Linked DNA regions of Ovis aries. The protein of the gene in region 1 purifies or fractionates together with the protein of each later gene. This does not show direct contact. Links are inferred from orthologs where the notes say so. Each region holds a gene or a part of one and is shown on either strand. Other genes may lie near its edges.

Region 1 (4,271 bases):
CTGCTCCTCTGCCCACCTCATTGATGTGCTTGTAGGTCTTGATGAGGTCCACGGAGAGCTTGCGCAGCGGGGCCGAGGTCGCGTCTCGGAAGGCCAGGGGCAGCCTCCGCGGCAGGAGCCGTACTTCAGGCAGCACCTGGGGACAGGCAGGGTGACCAGTCGGTGGGCACTGAGGGAGGGCCTCCACCCCTACCTCGAGGGGGCGAACTCTGTGGGCTGTTGGCTCACCATTACCACATGGGTTATTTATCTGGTCACTGTCTGACAACCCCACTAGAATTGAAACTCCCAAAGGACAGAGACTTTACTTCTCTCCCGAGCCTGGAGCAGGGCCTCGCACATAGTGGGTATTCATAAGCAATTTGCTGAGTAAATCACGAAGTGAATGATTTACCCCTGACCTTTCATCACATACCTTGATTCTTTTCTAAACCTCAGGGGGAGAGGTTGGAAACCTGGGCTCTGACCCTCCCCATCCTTCAGTGGAGACCATCCATCCAGGGACTCCCTCCCAGAGGGGCTTCCTATCTTGTTTTATCCTCACCCTTTGGGGCCTCCCCACTCCGACCCTGCACCCCTTCTCTGTGCCTCTCTGCCCGGTTTCTTCACCCTGAGGATCGCGGATCCTCGTACTCCATCCTGTTTCAAGCTCTATAGCCCAGTCTTCAGTCTACCCTTGAAGGTCTTAACCCTGCACCCCCAGGCCCTGCTGGCTCCAAAATCCTTCAGACTCAAGCTTCTTCCCTTTGAACCCCTCCAGATCTTTCACTTTGGATTTTTTTTTTCATTAATGAGTATTTACTGAGTGTTTACTATGTGCCCGGCACTGTTCTCAGCATTTCCAATTGCATTTTATGAACTTGTTTAATCTTCACAACAACCCTGTGAGGAAGGGTTCGGGTCTTATTTGACAGAACAGGGAACTGAAACATGGGGATCCTATGGAATAACCACTGTGCCTGGATTGTAACCCAGGCTCTCCAAATCCCGACTCCTCCAGCGACTCTTCTCTATCTTCCACTTCCACGGCGCCCTTCACGCCCGGCAGACCGTCCCAGGCAACCACATCATCTTTTTTGGCCCCAAGACCCTTCTATCCCAGCCTCCCCCTCCCCCAGGTAGGTGAGGAGCCAGCGGAACGCGTACCTGCGTGTGCTCCTGGGGCCCCGGGAAGCCAGAGAAGGGACCATGGCCTGGTGGGACAGCCATGGTGGGCTCAGAGGGCCGCAGGGGAGCGAGGCCTGGAGCGGGAGCCCGGCTGGGGGGCGCCTTCTCGCATCCTGCACCTCGGCTGCCACCGCCGCTGAGACCTGAGAGGGGGCAGGGTGGGGGGAGAGGGGGGACATGGAACAAAGGGATGTGTTGGCCAGTGCCAAGCGGGAAAGAGGTGGACAGCAGAGAGAAGGCGGGGCACAGAGTGCGGAGAAAAGGGTGCAAGGGGTCAACAGGTGGCAGTGAAGAGCGGACAGAGAGAAGTGGCGGTGGGGGGCACAGCAGAGCCCCCGCGAATGATGACCAGATACATGGAGCAGGCGGCACGGGGAGGGGAACATGGGAAAGGGAACAATCGCGAGCCAGGCAGGGATGTGAGCCGTGACAGGAAAGGACAGAAAGACATGAATAATTGGGGGGAGGAAGAGAAGAGAGAAACCGCAGGCAGCACAGGGAGCTGGGTTCACACTCTCCTCCCCATTTCTACGTATGGCTCTCCTCAGGGCCCCTCCTGTAGTCTGGGAGCGTCAGGACTTTGTCTTACCACAGGACGGTCCCTCCACTTCAAGGTCTACCCTTCCCAGTAGGTCCCCCAATCCAGAGAACTCTAGGCTCCCTCCCAAACCACAGGGGAGTCTTTCGGCCCCCTCCAAATCACAGCAGACTCCTCTACAGGCCCCTAAAACCACACCAGGGTCTTCAGGGAGCTCCCAACCACACCAAGGTTATCTAAGGACCCCTTTATAACAGAGTCCTAACCCCAAGGCATTCTCACCCACCAGGGTACACCCTTCTCAGAGGACCCTCCCCATTTAGTGCCAAGACCTCTTCCATATCATTTCCTCCCACATCAGGGACCACCCCCCCAGTAATTTCCCAAACCATATCCAGTTCCCGCATGCTACACCAGGGCCCTTCTTCACATTACTCCAAGCTGCTCCCCCCTCCCCCACTAGGGCCACTCCTTTGGGAAGCAAGGGGGAGGCGTTTCTATCGGCGCTTTAGAGTGGATCGTCCTTCTCTCCCCTACCATGGATCCTACCCCCACCCTCGCTACCAATATTCCTGTCAGGGCCCTTTCTCCAGTTACTCCTTCACACCAGGGTCAACCCACAGCTGTGCCCATTCCTAGAAGTCCCCCAGAGCCAAATTCGCCAAATATCACAGAGTTCTCCCCTTCCAGAGTATCTTCCACACCAGACTCCTCTCCCCACGGGCCTTCTCCCCTGTCAATCCTTTCTCCCATGCCAAGCCCTGCCACTCCACGATCCCTCCTCTCTCTTGGAGCTCCCCCACAAAGCAATCTCTGCCCCGGGCCCCTCCCACAACAGGACCCTCTCTCCCAGCCTCCACCCCATACCCGGGTCAGGGCTGGCGCGCCCACGGGGGGCTGGAGCGCGATGGGGCCCCCAGTTGGGTGGGCGAGCGGCCAGCATGGCGGTGGTGGCTGTGGTGAGCAGACAGCCGCCTGTCCCGGCCCGGCCGGCCCGGCAAGCCCCGCGGCGGGGAGGGCAAGCGGGACAGGCGGCCCGGTGGGTGACAACAGCAGGCAGCAGCCGCCGCCGCCAGGGGCGGGGAGAGAAGGAAACTAGGGTCAGCCCGGGGCACGCGGGGGAAGGGGAAAGCAGGTGGACGGGGGAGGGGCGAGTTAACCCTCGCCCCGCCGGCCCCGCCCAGCGCAGCCACCCTCCCCAGGGGACCCCGGCGTCCCGCCCCCCACCCTGGAGGCCAGCCCCGGCCAGAGGAGCCCAGGCGGGCGGGGCCGGACCGAACTTGGCAGTCCACACCTACCATGGCAACAACCGTGCCATTGGTCGTTGCTGCCAAGAGACCAACCAATCACAGCGCAGGACGGCGGTTGCTAGGCGACGACGATGCGGCCGGCGGAGCCGAGCCCAAACAAAGGGCGGGAGCGAGGCCCCGCTACCCCCTCCTAAGACTGCTCCCTCCGGCTCGGCCCCTTCCAGGAATCCGACTATGAATAGCCAGGCAAGGCCTGCACCTGCCCGCCGCCCCCCTTCTCTCCTCCTTCGGCCTCGTGCTAAATCTCGCGGCGACGCAGGCAGGGCGGGTCCCAGACTACCCTCCCTCCCCGAGAACGCGTGCTGTCCCCCAGGAGCCGCGTCCTTACCTGAGAGCGCGGGCAAGGGAACTCAAGCTGCTCGGGAAGCCCGAGCTCAGTCTTGCCCACAGGCTGAAGATATCCGGCGAGCGCAGCGAGCCAGGGCCCCGATTACCCAGTAATGCAACCAGCAAAATGGCGACCACAACAAACCGGCCCCCCCGCCTCGGACTCCGCCCCCACCCCCCAAGCTGTTTCCCCTCACGTGACCCAGGGCAGCGCTCCGCGGTTGCGCTCAAAGAACCTTACTGGGATCCATGCGCAGTGAGCTACCGACCCCGCCCAAGCGCCGAAGTCCAAGTTACGGCTGCGCAGGAGGCAGCTAAGAGAGGAGCGTGCGCAGTGCGACCGGGTGGGAGGACTCGCCCCCACCACCAGGCCAGTGGACAGAGCGTGCGAGCGCCCTGTGAATAGACGTCGTCAAGCAATCAGCGGCAAACGGACCGACTGATGAGTCTTTTAATAGAAAAACAAACGTGTAACAGTAGCAACACTCTCTGGCGATCCAGTGGCGCTGGGCTTCAGTTCTTCACTTTGGGAGGTGGCCTGAGAGAAGAAAGTGGACTTAGAAGAGCCCGTCACCACTTTGGGGCACTCGTAACAAGTACTGATGGGGCCTCGTGCTCACCTGTACACACCCACGACCACAGCATGGTCTCTCTCGTACGGCTCTAGGGTCAGCTGCTCCTGGGGCTTCATGTTCTCTTGCTGCATCTTTTTCACTTCAGAGGCAAAGACAGCCTCGGCGGAAGCTGTGGAGTCAATGCAATTAGCCTGCAAAAGAGAGGATTTGAAGTCTGAGGCAAGCTTTGGGATATTCCCCCGTTTTTGTGCTTCTTTAAACCAGCAGAATTTGTTTTTATTGGAGACTAGGCTTTGGAAATATACGGAAAGACTTTGTTAGAGAAGTTTTCGATTTGGTTTGGGTTTGGAACAG
Region 2 (4,090 bases), on another chromosome or scaffold:
CAGCCTGCCGCGCGCCGCCACTCGGAGCGGCCCGGTCCGACCCGGCCCCGCCTCCGCGGCGCCCCCAGCCCGGCCTGGCCCCCGCCCGGCCCAAGTGGGCGGTGCAGCGCGGGGGAGGGTCCGAGGGGTGACCCCGCCCCCGGGGCGCGGACACGCGCAGGCACCCGGCGTCACGCGTGTCCGGCGGGGCGCACGCTGGAGCTACGCAGCAGGACTCAGATTCCCTCCCTCCGAGGAGCGATGGCTGTGTGTCTGGGGCTCGGTCGGTTCAGGACTAGGCGGTGGCGGGTCACCCTTTACCCTTACTTGGGCCCCGGGGCCAGCGGCAGCTGGTCATTGTTCGAGCACAAAGGGCCAGGCGCCGCGGCAGCCGCCCTTCCCCCTCCGCTCCTCTAGTCGATGCCTCACCCCTAGGCACACTCTCCGGCTTCAGAGTCCAGAGAAGGAGGTTGGGGGTCACCTAACCCCCAAGTCTTGGCCCTGCGTCCTGGCACAAGTCGGGGGCCGACGCTTGGTGGGTGCCTGCCCCACCCCCAGCCGCTTGCAGAAGGCACGCTAGGATTTGCGGAGGCGGCGCCACCTGGCGGCCCGTTCGGAGAACACAGCCACCCCCAAACTTGGGGGGCCCCTACCCTTCTCCCCAGTGCTGTACTCCCTCTCGGGAGAGCCCCGGCCTTCCTCGAGCGCGGTTCTTTGCTCCCCAACCTTCCCTCAGACTCATTTGCTAAGAGGTAAATGCTCAAGAGAGAGACGTCCCCTGGGCCCCCAAAAGTCACCCCAGTGGGGGAGCTGGTCCAAACCTACAGGCCAAGCTTACGCCAGCCTCACAGCAGACAACGTTCCACTGTCTTCTCAGGGTCAAGAATACTCTCACCCTCTGGCAAACAACACAATCTAAACACCCACACGACCTTTCCCACACTCAGTCTCAGACACAATCACTCAGTCTGTCTGGTCCATCAGAAGGATCCATGTCCCTTCTTGCCATAATCAGGCCAACTCAGAGATACACACTTGGTATCACGGCTAGTTGTGCACAAGCTTTCACAGCTCAAGTTCCTTTGCACCCAGTCACAGTCTTGACTATACTTGCCTCCCAAGCTTTTTTCACACTATGACAGTCTTTTTCACAGTCACAAAGACAACTTTTTAAACATACACGTCGTATTTCACAAACATTTTATCACACAGACTTTCCCATAGGGGTTTCTGTGACCTAACCAGGTCAGCTGATGCCCGCATCCCTGGGCAAGGACAGCCTCCTGCCCCCTAACCCCGCCCCCCAGAACTAAGGCCTGCCAGAGCTCCTCTGCCCCAGGAAGGAGCATTCCCCCCGCCCCGCCCCCCCCTTCCAGGCCGCAGCCTGGCCGGCTCTCAGTTCTATTTTTAGCTCCATGGAAAGAGTTGTTTTCTTTCTTTTTCCCTGGAAAGGGAAACATAGCCCAGCCACCCTCAGGCTCACCCTAGACCCTCTTGCCTCACAAGTACAGACTGAGCCCCACCCCCATAGAGACCCCCTCTTCTGGCCTTGCCCTGATCCCAGCCTCCTGGGGCACCAGGAGCCTCCTCCCCTTTCTGGCAGCCTGCCCAGAAGCTCAGGCAGCAGCTGGGCTCAGCGTGTGTGGAGGGGTAGGGAGGGTGGTGGAGAGGGAGGCCGAGGGCCGCTGCCCACTCTCATTCGCTGGGGGGAGGGGGCCGTGCTCCCTTCTACCAGAGGGAGACGGGCCCACTCTGGTATAGAGAGGATGTGTACGGTCATGCATTCTCTGGGGAAGGGGGACTCCTACTCTTGCGTGAGTGGGCTTTCTGCTCCTACTTTGAGGGGAGGAGCTCCCAGTGCCGCAAGGAGGAGTGTAGTAAGAAAGGGGACCCACAGGCGTTCGCGCAGATGCTCCCCGGGGCTGGAGGTCCCGGCGGAGGCTGCTGTACACTGCCAGAATTGCCCCCCTCTCGGGTATCTTCAGGAATGGGGGCAACATGTTCCGGAGAAGGAAGGTGAGGAGCCCAGGTAACCAACCCTCTCAGTCCAACAGTCTGTTGTCCTCCTTCGCTACCCCAACTCCGGGGGGCGTTGTGCTCCCATTCCTGGGGAAGGGCTTATCCCCTCCAAGGGGAGAATGGAATACAGCCCGGCAATGTATCTTTCAAACTCGCTTAGTACTGCGGAGGGAGGTTCCCGCCGCGAGGCTCCCCCCGTACAGCCCACGGGTCTGCGAAGCGATCACGTGCTCAACGCCTGTTTACGTCTTAGTCTTCACCTGCGGGCAGCAAGGAAGCCGGAACCTCCGGAGGCGTCCCACCTGGCCCGCCCCCGTCCGCGGTCACTGGGAGGCCCTTTTCTCCCACCCTCACCAAGTACGCGACGGCAGCACACCCTGCCCGCTGGGGGTCCGCGCGGGCCAGCGGCGCTGATCCGCCAACAGCAAGCGAAACTCACTAGGCGCGTCCGCCCCGCAGTGCACGTGTATTCAGGTGTCTCCAGTACGCGCGTGGGTCTGTGTGCACGCGTGTGTGCGCCCGTCGGTGTGAGTTTTCGTGTAGGTTCCCTGTTCAGACTCTTCGCCCGCGGCCCCTGGACTGAGGACCCGTCTCTTCACCCCAATCCCCGGCTTCCCGGGATCGGGAAATTTCACTCCGGGGCGGGGGTGTGCAGGAGGCGAGAGTTCCTACACCGCCGCGGCGCCCCCACTCACTCACCCAGCGCTACCTTAACCGCCGTTCCAGCTCCCGCTGGGCTCCTGACCCAGGGCCGGCACCTCCTGGTCGCAGATCCGCCGGCTCCCCAGCGCGCTCGGCCCGGGCTTGGTGGAGGGGGCGGGGCGGCTGAGGCCGCGCCCCCGACCAAGGCAGGGGAGTGGTCTGCCCAGCACCCCCTCAGCAGCAGATCTGGTACCCTGCCAAGCAGTGTTGCGACGGTGGCCCAAGACTGCCCCTCGGACTTCTGACTTCGCAGCTTCTGGAACTGGCTTTCGATCTAGGAAGGGGCCAGCGGCGCCACAGCTAAGCTAAGCTACCTGGCTGCCCTAACCAAGTTGGCTATAGGGCTTTACTGCCACTATCCTCTGGTCTGTAGGGAGCCCAGCCTGGTCCACTCTCAGCCCACTCCCCAGACACAGGGAAAACCCCTGGGAAGCAGACGAAGAAGGCTCGGATTTCACCGAAACAGACCCCACCCTTCCTCACACACCTCTGAGGTTGGGGCTGCTCAAGCAGAACCAACACCTCCCCCTCCCCTGGAGTAGGTGTCTGCCCGGTGAGCAGGCTTGCCAGTTTTGCCCCCCGCCCCCCACCAGAGTGTAGTCAGGCTTCTCTTAGACTTATAAAGTTCCACCCACAGGCACAAACAGGAAGTTGACCTGTATTGCACCAAAGGGTCCCTCCCTCCATGGCACCCAAGGCAGCCTGTGGGAGGGCAGACCGTGATGTCTACAGGTATTTGGGTCATATCTGCAGCCTGAGTACTTGGGCAGCAGGAGCCCTTTGAGTTGAGTCTCTTCTGAGACCCATCCCCAGTGAAGGGATGGAGGACCAAAGCTGCCCCCTTACAGGCAAGGGGGTTAGAGAATCTGAGGACAAGCCTGCAGATCCAGCTGGATTCTACTGGGCCAGGCTCTCCCTCAGCTCTCAGGAAGATTCCAGTTGGGCACAGGCCGAGTACTGGTTCTAGCCCAGGCAGTTTGCCTCAATCCTCTTAGGTGGGGTATAGAAACAGTGACTCCTAGGGACCTTACATAGGACCCAGGGATTAACTGCTACTTTTTGGGCTCCAGGGGCTCTTGAAATACTTTGGGCTAATTTTCACGTGAGGGGTTTAAGACAGGTGTGTAATGGAATGTGTGTGTGTGTGTAGGGGTGGGGCTGGGGGATCATTAGCTTCCCCTCCTCCCTACCATTCTGGTTTGCTGTGTAGGCTGTCTGCTAGAAGGGTGGGGCAAGACAGGCAAGTGTGTATCTATCCCTCTATCCCCAATTCATAGACCTCATAAAAGTCTCCTTTTGGAAATCCCTGAAAGATTTCCTGAGCACAGAAGACCAGAATGTGGAACCCACATCCTTACAGGTAGGACTGACCTGGTAGTGTGCATCTGGA
Region 3 (3,512 bases), on another chromosome or scaffold:
TAAGTATCTACCCTAATAGTGGGACTCGGTTTTAAGAGTATCAGAACAGAAAACAGAAAACAAACTAATGGAATTCTGGAAACCAATATGTAAATCTAAAAACCATTGCAAAGTGTATGTACTTGGTCCTGTAAAAGAACGCTCTCTCATAAAGTGCTGAGATCAAGCAACCATCAAGTGACGTAAATTTAAAGTCTAAATCAAGATGTACCTTAGTTGATTTTCAACAGTCAGTATCAAGGATCTTTTAACTCTTTAAAATGATTTTCATTCTTCACTAGCCAAAAAGCTTTAACTGTTCTGCTCATTCAATCCATTGCAAATATTCCTGGAGTGCTTATTCCATCTAGTATAGTACTAATTTCTGAGGATGAAAATATAAAAATGGGCAAGCCAGACAGTTCCTGCCTTCATGGGCTTGCCATCTAATGACTATGAGAAACATTAAATGATTATACAAAGATTTAATTAAATTATAATTGTAGTTAAGTTGCTGCAACAGAAACTACACCCAACTAAGACACAGTCAACAACTGGCTTTATGATCTTGGACTTTAGTTTCCTCACCCGTAAAACTAGGAGTTAGATCAAATGATCCTTTAAGATCCCTTTAATTAAAACTTTTTATAAATCTAAAAGTACAAAACTTTGTTTCCAGAGTCCCTTTGTCAGGATATCTACATTTATAGATTCTATCAGCAATATAAAATCATCCCCATTTCCCAAAACATGAAGATTTTTGGCACAAAAATATAAGGTGGGATGAAAAAGTAACCTTTATTGTAACAAATTTTTAAGTCCAAATTCCATAAATTAAATTTACTGTGATGTTCTAAACTATAAAAAAGTGAGAGAAAACATGTCCATAAATTACTGCATATATCAGAATTCCTTTGAGAACTGTTTCAAATGCACATTCTTAAGACTCAACCAAAACCTACTGGAGAACATTCAAGGTCAAGCCTGGGGATCTGCATTTTTGATAAGCTTCCCAGATAATGCTAATACATACTAGTTTTAAGAATTTGAGAGCAGAGTAGAATAAACAATATTATGAGAAATGGTTTCAGAGTGAAACACTTCAAGATAAGAACTGTAATAAACCTACCTGTGTGGCCTTGTCCCTCATGCAAGGAGCAGCTTGCCCATGACCATCACGAGGCCAGTGCCCTGCTAGGTACGGAGCAGCGAGTGTATCCAGGGAGGAGGTACGGCGGATGATGCTAGAGGGGCTGGAGGAAGGTGGTCTCGTTTTGTCCCCTAGATTTAAGACAGATACATTTATTTAAAAAATAGCTTAGGAAGGAAACAAAGCAGAAACTAGGTAGAGTTTCTCTAACTTAAATATAAAATGTGAGTGACAAAGAGGAATAAGCTACTGAGTCACACAAACTTGGATGGCTCTCACATTAAGGGATTCCTGGTGGCTGAGAAGATAAAGAGTCTGCCTGCAATGCGGGAGACTCAGATTCAATCCCTGGGTCGAGAAAATCCCTTGGAGAAGGAAATGGCAACCCACTCCAGTATTCCTGCCTGGAAAATCCTGTGGACAGAAGAGCCTGGCAGGCTACAGTCCACAGGGTCGCAAAGACTTAGTTGATCATGACTGAAGCAACTTCATTTCATTTCCAGACATATTAAGTAAAAACAGTCACTCTCAAATGGCTACTTATGACTTCATTTGTACATTTTTGACATGACAAAATGTTAGAAATGGAAGAAAGATTAATGGTTGCCAGGGATCCACTAGCAGATAGGAAGAGGGAAAGTGAAGTACAGGAGAGGAGCAGATGTTACAAAAGGGCAATATGCAGGACCCTTTGGTGACAGGAAACTATTCAGCATCTTGACTGTAGTGGGGATGTACAAACATAAAAAGAAGATTAAGCAGTAGAGAATTTAAAACACATACACACAAGTACAAGTAAAAACGGAAGAAATCTGAGTAAGAACAGTGGTTTGTACAACGTCAAAATCCTACGTAATCCTACAAAAATGTTATCACTGGGGAAAATAGGCTAAACGTACAAAAGATCTCTGTATTTCTTACAACTACAATTAATCTCTACAAAAAAACAGAAAATAAGACAAATGTATCAATATTACCCATGAGAGGATTTACGAGCTTAATGTGTCCTAAGAGACAAAAAGGCATAATAAGAAAGGCCACCATCCTTATCTACCCATTTTTAAAATGCTCACCTTGGGTTTAAGATTAAGTACGTGTAATAGGTAAATATCACTTGTTATTACACCACCTATACTCACTCAAAAGGAAATAAGGCAGCTAAGATAAAGTTACAGGTAAAATTTCACTTTAATCAGCTCTGTCAGGCACATGTCTTACTGAGTTTTGTTATAATAAATAGACTTCAAGAAACCAAACTAACCAGCCTATAGGAGCTATACTTGAAGACATATATGCAAATATATTTTCCATTTCAAGATACAGGATATGTATTTAGATATACGCCAAAAATAAAAACTATAAAAAAAAAAAGAAAAGAAACTAGAGGTAATAGGAAGTTAGAGCAATACAGAAAAAATACTCTATTTCCTTTTTTTTTCTTTTTTGAAGGGGGAAAGTAATAGGCTTAGCTAATTATATTACAAAAATTTTTAAATTAAAGGATTTAAAAATATGAAACATGAACATTATAATGCTACCATTCTAGCTCTCTCTATATAACAAATACCTTGTTTTTCTTAAGGCCATATATGAAAACATTTTAGGATGCCTCTCTTCTAATCATATCACATTATTTCTTGACAAGGGTCTTATATAGTTACAAGTATAAAAGTTCAGTTGTTGGTTATGTGACCCAAATAATAAGAGATTCAATTCCACCAAGATAATAGTTTTATCAGCTGTGTTGCTGATAATCATAAAAGTTGCTTCACAAGATATGCCTCAGATACATAATTTGTTTTCAAAATGGCACAATTATTTCACTAAAACAATGCCTAAATGTTGCAAATGCTAACCATATCTCTGCAGTGTCTTCCTTTTATAGTTAAACACAAAATAAATACAGTACATATCCATAAGTTCAAGGAAGCATATACTCACCTATAACAAGTGAAAAGCAATAAATATACATGTACATGATTTTTCCTTTAACTAAAAAATGAATCTCTACCGGGATGGTCACAAAACTATTGTTCTTGGCCACAAAAAAGGGACACAGACTATGTAAACTGGAGTATATTCATTAAAATCCAATTGTTAAAAGCTGTCTGGCCCTTCTCTTCCTTAACTACAACATTGCTTCCATCACTGTTCAGTGTATTAATCAAATAGGTCTGATTTCATCAAGATTTTATATTATCCAAGCACTGACTTTTCAACTAGACTTTCTAAGACTGATTTTCCATAACACAAGGGAGAATAGAAAAATTATATGTGGTCACACATAAAAACACTAAACATTTTCTTTTGAACTCCCTTCATGTAAACATTTACTAAGGGTCTGGAAGCCAGTGCTAAGCCCTAGAAATTAAAAAGACTAAGT
Region 4 (4,306 bases), on another chromosome or scaffold:
ACAGAGGTCTGTTGGCTTCAAAGTGCCAAAGGTGTCCATCTCTCTCTCTCTCACACGCACACACACACGTTAAGAACTCTAACCTAGATAGGTGGGGACATAAAAACAGAAGGCAAGATGCTGCATTGCCTACACCACGCAAGTGAGTTAAGACAGAGGTGACCACTTGCTTGCTGCTCCTAGGATTAGCAGTTTGCATCTCCCTAAAACCGCACTGCCTGTGTGCCTGGCACAAAGAAGGAGCTCCATACAGTTACTAAATGGAAGGACAAACTTTGGGGTGGAGTTCCTGCAACCGAGGTTTGACACCAATTACTCCACTGATTGCACCAGCAGCCTAACAGTGTAGCTCAGTTTCTCCCCTTTTGGAAACGGAGCTCCTAGATTGTGAGGCCACTCTCACCTTCTGAGATGGCCCACACTCTGTCTGTGGAGTGTGTTTCTCTTTAATAAATCCACTTCTTACCTATCACTTTGTCTCTCACCAAACTCTTCCTGAGATAAGACATCAAGAACCTGGGGCTCAATACTGAAACTCCCCCCCAGGTGGAGGAAGCTGACTGTATGCTCTCACAAGCATGCAGAGCCCAGAGCAGCTGCAACCAGAAGGTTGATGATGCTGACTCCCACTTACCTCACCACCCACCAATCACAATCCATCGGAAGAATGCCCACGAGCTGATCACCCTCTCTTTGAACCATTTCTATAAAACTTCTCACTGCTCCCTCCAGGCTGGAACACACAGTTACGAGGGCATTAGCCCACTGTGGCCCCTTTTGCCTTGACAAAGCAATAAAGATATTCTTTTCTACTTCGCCCCCCCGCCCCCCAAAATATGACCCTGCAAGAACTTGCAAGGCAAAAAAAATCGGTGTGAAAGACTCAAGTCCTTTGAAAGATACGTTTTACTTTTTTTTTCTTCCCAACATGTATTCTTAAAACAACAGTTCTATTCCACTTCACACATCAGTACCTTGAATTCTATTTCCCACTCTGCTATGCACAACCCAGCCATTAGGAAGAAAGAGGCAACCGAGAAAAGGAAATAAAGCTATGTCTTTTAAAGCTAAGTCTGGTCAGGACTCTCTGCTTTCTGTGGGCAATGGATGAGCCCCAAGATCAGTGCAAATTCCCTGGGATTTGTTTGTAAATTATATATATATGATGTTTGGGTAATGAGAGTCCATCACTTTCATCAATTTCTTAAAGGGGATTCCAGAAAGGTTAAGACAACTCCAAAGAAACAGATGTGCTCCTGAAAATCTGTAAACAAAGTTACAATGTTCAAATGTTTTTTACAGGACCTTTATGTTTAAAAAAGAACTTGCCTACAACAATCTGTGGGTGAGAAATAATAAAACTGACCTGTGCAGTGCCCCATCGCCAGTCAGTGGACTAGACAGGGCAGCCAACCCTAGAGCACCTGCCTTTCTTCCCTGCACCATGCCTGTCACCATCCACATAGGCTATTCTTCCTAAGTCACAGTGCTCATGGTGTCAAGCAGGTGTACAGGCTTTAAACACCGCTAAGCACGGCTCTCAGTCGCTCTGATTACGACCAATCACCACGTTTACTCTAATACAAAATGGAAGAGATTTAAAGAGCCAAGGAAAGAAAATTCTTCCACTAACTTATTCAACAACTTTCAAAAACAAATTTATACTGCACTACCAGCTTAAAGTTTCCTCCTACTGCTTTCTATGAAGGATTCTCAAATTCCGGATGTCCAGAAAGACTTACTGCTCAAGGCTATATATCTGTATTAGCAAGAAAGATGCCAAGAAAAGATACACCAAGTTAACATCCTTCTCTATTTGGAAAACAACGGCGGGATCACTGGTCAAGATTTCCAAAAGGAGATCGCGGTGAAGAGGAGGAACACGAGGTCCCAACAGCGATGGCAATCCCGACAAATCCATCAATAATAGTACCTGCGGGTGGGTGTAGGGGGCGGGAAAGCCTGCGCAATAACCAGACCTAACAGAAATCTAGTGTGGCCAGAAGGGAATGACCATCGTAAGCGCATTTTCTTCACAGCCATCATTCCCTCATCCATCTTCTGCCCCCTAAACTGAAGCAGTGCAACAGGGGAGCGGATACTAGTGATAAATCGCATAGCTCTGGGGTGTAAACTTGGGTTTGAGACCTGTTTCCGTCACGAAATAACTGACCCGGGTAAGCTGCAACACGGTGCCTCAGTTTCCCCATCAGTAAAATGGGGGTAACTACACTCTTGACTACCCAGGAATGTTTCAAGGATTAAATGCGATAAAGAGAGCGAAACTCTCTGCACAGGACCAGACACAGAGGAACCGCTCCGTGGTGCTAAGGCAAGTCCGCAGGAGGGTCCTGGGGTCTGGGCTCCGGCCCAGAAAGGGCGCTCCCGGGGCCCGCTCCCCGCCAGCCGGGTTCCGAGCCCCTGCCCGGCCCACCTTGTTGTTGTACTCCTCCACGAAGCTGCCCAGCGCCAGGCGAAAGCGCTTGTCGGGCCGCACGCTCCAGTTCATGGCGTAGACGGTCCAGGGCGCTTCATACTTGTAGATCTCCTTCCGTTTGCCGTGCAGTGACATGGTGGAGGCGAAGGGGCCGCAGTGAGGACCGGGACGGGAGCGGGCTGTCGCGAGCCGGGCGCAAAACGGGCAGGGAGCCGGGCCTGGGACCCAGGGGTCCGAAGGGAGGCGGGGCGGGGGCGGGCAGGGACGGCCTAGCCCGGAAGCGGGGCGGTGGCAACAGACAACGACTGCCGGGCCCGACCCCCAGTTTCAAACCAGCTTTGGCTCGGACAACAACCACCTTCCGTTTGAGACACTGCCCCGCCCACTCGGAACGGAAGCCACGCGACCCCCGCAGCGCCGCTGGCCGTTGGCTGTCTGACACGTCTTTTCGAACGGTTCCTTCCTCTCATTGGCTATTGTGCCCTAAGCTTTTGAAACCTCCTTGCTATTGGCCTAAGTGTTTGTCATTCCAGCCACTTGCCCCGCCCAACTCCGGAGGTGGGGCAGGCGCTTACACAATCCCAAAGATCATTGGCTGACAAAGGTGTCAGTCAGAGAGATAACGGCGCAGTGCGGGTGAATGGGGGCGTGGGTGGCCAAGCGGCTGGCGAGCGAGGCAGTGGGACTCCGAGTTCTAGGCCAAGTGTCTGAAAGTGAGACTTTTTGTGTGACCTGCTCTCATTTCCCCACTGCAGCTGCTAGTCCCAGAAGCTACTCCACGCTGTCGAGTAAAAATGAAAATTCTCCCTTACCGGAGGACCTGCTGTATTTCAGGGCTCTGAGTTTGGTGGCCTGGCTGCCTGGCCTGTGCCGGAACGCGAAATTCCCCGCTCGTGCCAGCGTCCCAGTTAAGCCGTAATGTTGTTCCCCAGCGCCCCAAGGACAGGCCGCGAACACACCGTTTTCACATGGACACACCGATGTGTACTCGGGCCCAGGCCCAGCTACAGTCCGTGCGCTCTCCTTGTCATCGTAAAAACGCTCGGAATTCTAGGGTCGGCCCTCAGCAGGCGGCAGCCACACCAGCGTGGCTCTCACTGTTTATTCCTCCCCATTTCATCCTTCCCGCTAGGGTACCAAGGCAATTGCTAATCCAGCCCTAAATGCTGTATCTGTGTCTTCAGTTTGAAATGGAGAAAGGTCCGATTCTAGGTAACGTCTGTTTATAATTTAAATAGTTTCCAATGGTTTGCTTTCAAAACAACTAAAGGAGGATTGTAATGAATTGTTGGTGATAACATTAAGTATGGGCCTTCCCAAGTGGCGCTAGTGGTACAAAGAAACCCGCCTGTGTAATGCAGGAGACTCAGGTTCGATCCCTGGGTGGGGAAGATCTCCTGGAGGAGGAAATGGCAACCCAGCCCAGTATTCTTGCCTAGAAAACCCCATCGACAGCAGAGCCTAGCGGGCTACAGTCCATGGGGTTGCAAAGAGTCAGACACGACTGAAGTGACTTAACACATCATTAAGTATAGCTTTTAGTGATGTGATTGTTAACACAACTCAGAATTCAAAGAACTGAGTGTCACTGTTATATATATAACAATCCCCTTAAAGTAACTTCTGCTTCCTTATGTGAACAACTTTCTCTGGGCTTATTATGTTTTACTGTAACAAAAAAATAATATTTATCCACTCACATGAACTAATTGAGAGAAAAATTCCCTCTTTTAAGAGGTGTATGTCAATAAAATTTTAGTTTCTATAAAAATTTAAATAGAAGTATTTATGTTGTTTTGAAAAACCCAGTACTAATAAGTGTAACCCTTAAAGTGTAACCCTTAAATTATGTGTGTGTGTGTGTGTGTG
Region 5 (3,386 bases), on another chromosome or scaffold:
AGGCCATGAACCATGGTGGAGAGATACTGCTGCCTTCCCGGGCTGTTTCTTGGAGACAGAGACCTCCTGAGTATGGTTTCTATCAAACAAACAAACAAACAAAATTAAGGCAAAGAAAGATGTTAACTTCCCAGAGAACCCTGCCCAAGCTGTATTTCAAAGTACCCCTCTTGGTTACCCTTGAAAGCAGGAGTCCTATGTGTTAAGGTGAGGTCATAACTCCCAGATAAAATTTTGAAAATTTAGTGTACATGCATATTTTTTTGAGGAAAAGAGCCCATAGTTTCTATCAGATTCAAGATTAGAAGCCTGTTTATAAACTTCATGTGTGTAGGAGTACTGACTGACGGCTTGTTTCACTCCTATATTGCTAGTGCCTAGTCGGAGTCTGTTATGTATATTCAATAACATTTGCTGACTGATTGAACGAATGACTATGAATAAGTAAGTTCTCAAAGCGGTTTATGACCCAGTGGTCTAGAAGGAAGAATATGAAAAGAGTGGGCAAGTGCCTACAACAACTGTACTCACATTGGGAAGACAAAAAACACTTGTTGAGTGAATGAGTGACGCAGCAGCCTATTCTGCTTAAGCCCTCACAGGCCCACGTGAAGCAGCGAAGGGCAAGGGACAAAACCAGCCTTGCATGAAAAGGGGCAGGGCACTAATGATGGGGCTTTTCTGACCCATGCATAAAGAGGGAAGATGCCTCCGGTAGGACAATCTGGGATCTCTGTTGGAAGGTTTAACATGGGTCCAATAAGTTTCTCTGGAACTCCCAGAACAGGAATTTCACAGGACACAGGACTTTCAATGCTAACACAAGGATAATCCTGGGCAAACTGAGATGGTAGACAACCCTTAGCCAAGGCTCAGGCAGACAGGAGTGCCAGGGGAGGCCATGTCAGGAGGGCCTGGAGCTAGAGGACACTTTACAAGTGAAAATGGAACAGTCTTCGCTACTCCCATCCTAGCTTCCCTGGTCTTGCCGGTCCCACCTGATTCATCTTGTCGAAGTCCAAGGAAGGCCGCAGCCGCCGAGGGTCCTCCTCATGGCGCCGCTTGACCCCAGCTTTGCGGGCATCAAGATCACAAGGCTGTGAGCGGCTTCGGGGAAGATTGCGCAGGCCTCGAGGTCGCCAGGGCAGCTCTGGGGAGGATGCAGGGGAGCTCCGGGCAGAGGGCAAGAAGCGGCTTGCCTGTGGGCCCAGGCTGGGTGACAGGGAGAAGCGGCGTTGGGGTGGGCAAGGTGACAGGGACTCAGCATCACTCTCCCAGGAGCCACTTTGTGGGGAGGCGGCAGAGGGATGAGAAGAATCTTGGGCTAGGGCCAGGCTGAAGAAAGGGGGGCTGTAGGGTCTGTGGGCTGGGGCACATTGAGACGAGGCACTGGGAGCTTGGAGGAACCTGAGGCTGGAGACCCGCTTCGGGGGGCTCTGGTGAGGCACCTGTGGCCCACCCCCTCCACCACTGCCCCGGTGCTTGATGGGAGTCCACAGCTTGGAGGGGGCGGGCCGCCACACTGGCTGCCAGCGAGACAGGTCCACGGGCACTGAGAGTGAGCGGCAGTGCCTCTTAGATGGAGGGGCAGGGGGCACAGGAAGCTTTTCTGGGTCTGGGGGCTCAGGGCTTAGGACTTGGGAGAGGGACTGCTCCTGTGGGGAACTTCCTGGGCTGGGTGGTCTGAGGTGCAGGCTCAAGCCTGAGGGGTGGTAGCTGAGGTTGAGGCTATCCTGGAACTCGGCACAGGAACAGTGGGGCAGGCCCCTCCAGGAAGCACCTTCTGGAAGGCATTCATAATAAAGACAGAATTAATGATAGCTAATATATTTTCAAGAGCTTACTATGTGCTACAAAACATAGTGAGCTTTATGTGAGGTTTCCCCTAAACTTCATGAGTTAGGTACTATCACTACCCCGATTTCACAGATGAGAGAAGTTCCGTAACTTGCCAACAGTTATGCAGGAATCAAATGACCAAAGCAGGGTTCAGAACCAGATTTGTCCGATGCTAAAGCTAGATCTTTTACCCAGCAGACTATAGTGCCTCCATTACGAGGAACCACCTGAAACTAAAAATATAGAATCATAAACTGCCTGTGAATCCGTGTCAAAGGTAGAATGAGTCAAGAGAAGCAAAGGTGTGTGTGCCACGCTCATCTTTCACTCCACTCCACCAAGCTCTACTTTGCTCCCCCAACCCCCAAGCCCTGAGTTGCGGAAAGCTGGCCTACACTCTCCGTCCTTAGCCTTTACCTTTCCTATGTGTCAAAGCACCAAGACAGGGTGATCAAGCAGGTAAGAGATCATCTGTATTCTTAGTGAAGGCAAGGGTGGGGAGGGTACAGTGGGAAAGGCCTTTGATGGTGCTTGTGTTCCTCTGGGTCTGGCCACCCACAAGGAAACGCTCAACATACTTACATGGAAAGATCTTCTAGTTTTATTATGATTAGTTTAAAAAGAAAGTTCCAAATATACAGAATCCAACCTTTTGTATTAAAAGAGTGTGAATAAAAAAAATTTACATTTTTATTTGATTCTATTTGTGAAAAAACAAAAACAAAAACTCTGGTTGAATAGACAAGAAACTAATAAAAGGAATTACTTTTAGGGAGGTGATAGAAGCTCGGTAGATAGAAAAGGAAGGGGCACTTTTTTCAGATTAACACTTTTCCTATTTAAGAAAATTGTGGAGGCAGGCTAGCTAGACCTGGTTATGGAAAACCAATAAAAGAAACGTGGATGGAGGCATGGGCATACACACACATAAACACATCATGTCTTACCAGACACAAGCTGGAAAGGGTTCCCACAGTTGGAGATGTCTGCATGATCAGGCAAAGGCTAAGAGACACAGAATATCCATCATGATTCAAGATCAGGACAGAGTTCCAGGAAGCCCCTTCAGCTCACCCCTGCAATTCATGGGCTATAGGGATATTAGGGACATCTAAGTGTTCTCTTCTTATCCTCCCAAAGTTAGTGAGTAAAATAATTCACATCTTCCAGTATCTCAAACCCTTCTCCACCCAAATTTTAGTGGCCCTTCTCTTAACAGTAAGAAAAACCTTGCCCCCTTCCTTTTGGGCTAGGTTTTGAGCCTTTAGCGGGCACATCCAGTACAAGTACCATGATTCATACAACGCAGGACAAGGGTGAAGTAGTAACAACAAATAGCCTCAGAAAAAAGGGCAAGGGGGTCTTAGAGAAGTGGGAAGACTGTCTTTTACCAGACTGATGCTGAAGCGTGTGCATTTCAGCTCATCCAGAGTCTGCTTCTGTAGCTGCTCAGTGATCAGGGTTATCATGATTCTCCCCAGGATTTGACTTGCACACTTTGGAGCAAATGATGGATGTCTTCCCTGTTGTTCTTCCAGACCTCACTC

Evidence for each region.
Region 2: the proteins of DYRK1B (region 1) and LZTS2 purify together in Homo sapiens (affinity purification with mass spectrometry; 3 studies listed by BioGRID and IntAct, counting the BioPlex papers as one, with this or other methods). This does not show direct contact. The link is inferred for Ovis aries from reciprocal best matches to the Homo sapiens genes DYRK1B and LZTS2.
Region 3: the proteins of DYRK1B (region 1) and FAM117B purify together in Homo sapiens (affinity purification with mass spectrometry; 3 studies listed by BioGRID and IntAct, counting the BioPlex papers as one, with this or other methods). This does not show direct contact. The link is inferred for Ovis aries from reciprocal best matches to the Homo sapiens genes DYRK1B and FAM117B.
Region 4: the proteins of DYRK1B (region 1) and DCAF7 purify together in Homo sapiens (affinity purification with mass spectrometry; 10 studies listed by BioGRID and IntAct, counting the BioPlex papers as one, with this or other methods). This does not show direct contact. The link is inferred for Ovis aries from reciprocal best matches to the Homo sapiens genes DYRK1B and DCAF7.
Region 5: the proteins of DYRK1B (region 1) and FAM53C purify together in Homo sapiens (affinity purification with mass spectrometry; 3 studies listed by BioGRID and IntAct, counting the BioPlex papers as one, with this or other methods). This does not show direct contact. The link is inferred for Ovis aries from reciprocal best matches to the Homo sapiens genes DYRK1B and FAM53C.

The regions. Positions count from the first base shown.
Region 1 is NC_056067.1:48,790,043-48,794,313, forward strand, and holds the start of DYRK1B (dual specificity tyrosine-phosphorylation-regulated kinase 1B), read right to left. Parts: upstream 2,803-4,271; 5' UTR 2,649-2,802; coding exon 2,573-2,648; intron 1,311-2,572; coding exon 1,147-1,310; intron 137-1,146; coding exon 17-136; intron 1-16. Other genes in the region: FBL (rRNA 2'-O-methyltransferase fibrillarin), read right to left, coding at 3,856-3,880, 3,963-4,108.
Region 2 is NC_056075.1:21,595,502-21,599,591, reverse strand, and holds the start of LZTS2 (leucine zipper putative tumor suppressor 2), read right to left. Parts: upstream 2,808-4,090; 5' UTR 2,708-2,807; exon of another isoform or gene 2,438-2,707; intron 2,215-2,437; exon of another isoform or gene 409-2,214; intron 34-408; exon of another isoform or gene 1-33. UniProt on the Homo sapiens protein: Negative regulator of katanin-mediated microtubule severing and release from the centrosome. Required for central spindle formation and the completion of cytokinesis.
Region 3 is NC_056055.1:204,885,998-204,889,509, reverse strand, and holds part of FAM117B (protein FAM117B), read right to left. Parts: intron 1,261-3,512; coding exon 1,109-1,260; intron 1-1,108.
Region 4 is NC_056064.1:47,596,358-47,600,663, reverse strand, and holds the start of DCAF7 (DDB1- and CUL4-associated factor 7), read right to left. Parts: upstream 2,805-4,306; 5' UTR 2,573-2,804; coding exon 2,435-2,572; intron 1-2,434. UniProt on the Homo sapiens protein: Involved in craniofacial development. Acts upstream of the EDN1 pathway and is required for formation of the upper jaw equivalent, the palatoquadrate. The activity required for EDN1 pathway function differs between the first and second arches.
Region 5 is NC_056058.1:47,411,223-47,414,608, reverse strand, and holds part of FAM53C (protein FAM53C), read right to left. Parts: 5' UTR 3,309-3,386; coding exon 3,231-3,308; exon of another isoform or gene 2,845-3,230; coding exon 2,787-2,844; exon of another isoform or gene 1,784-2,786; coding exon 999-1,783; exon of another isoform or gene 80-998; coding exon 1-79.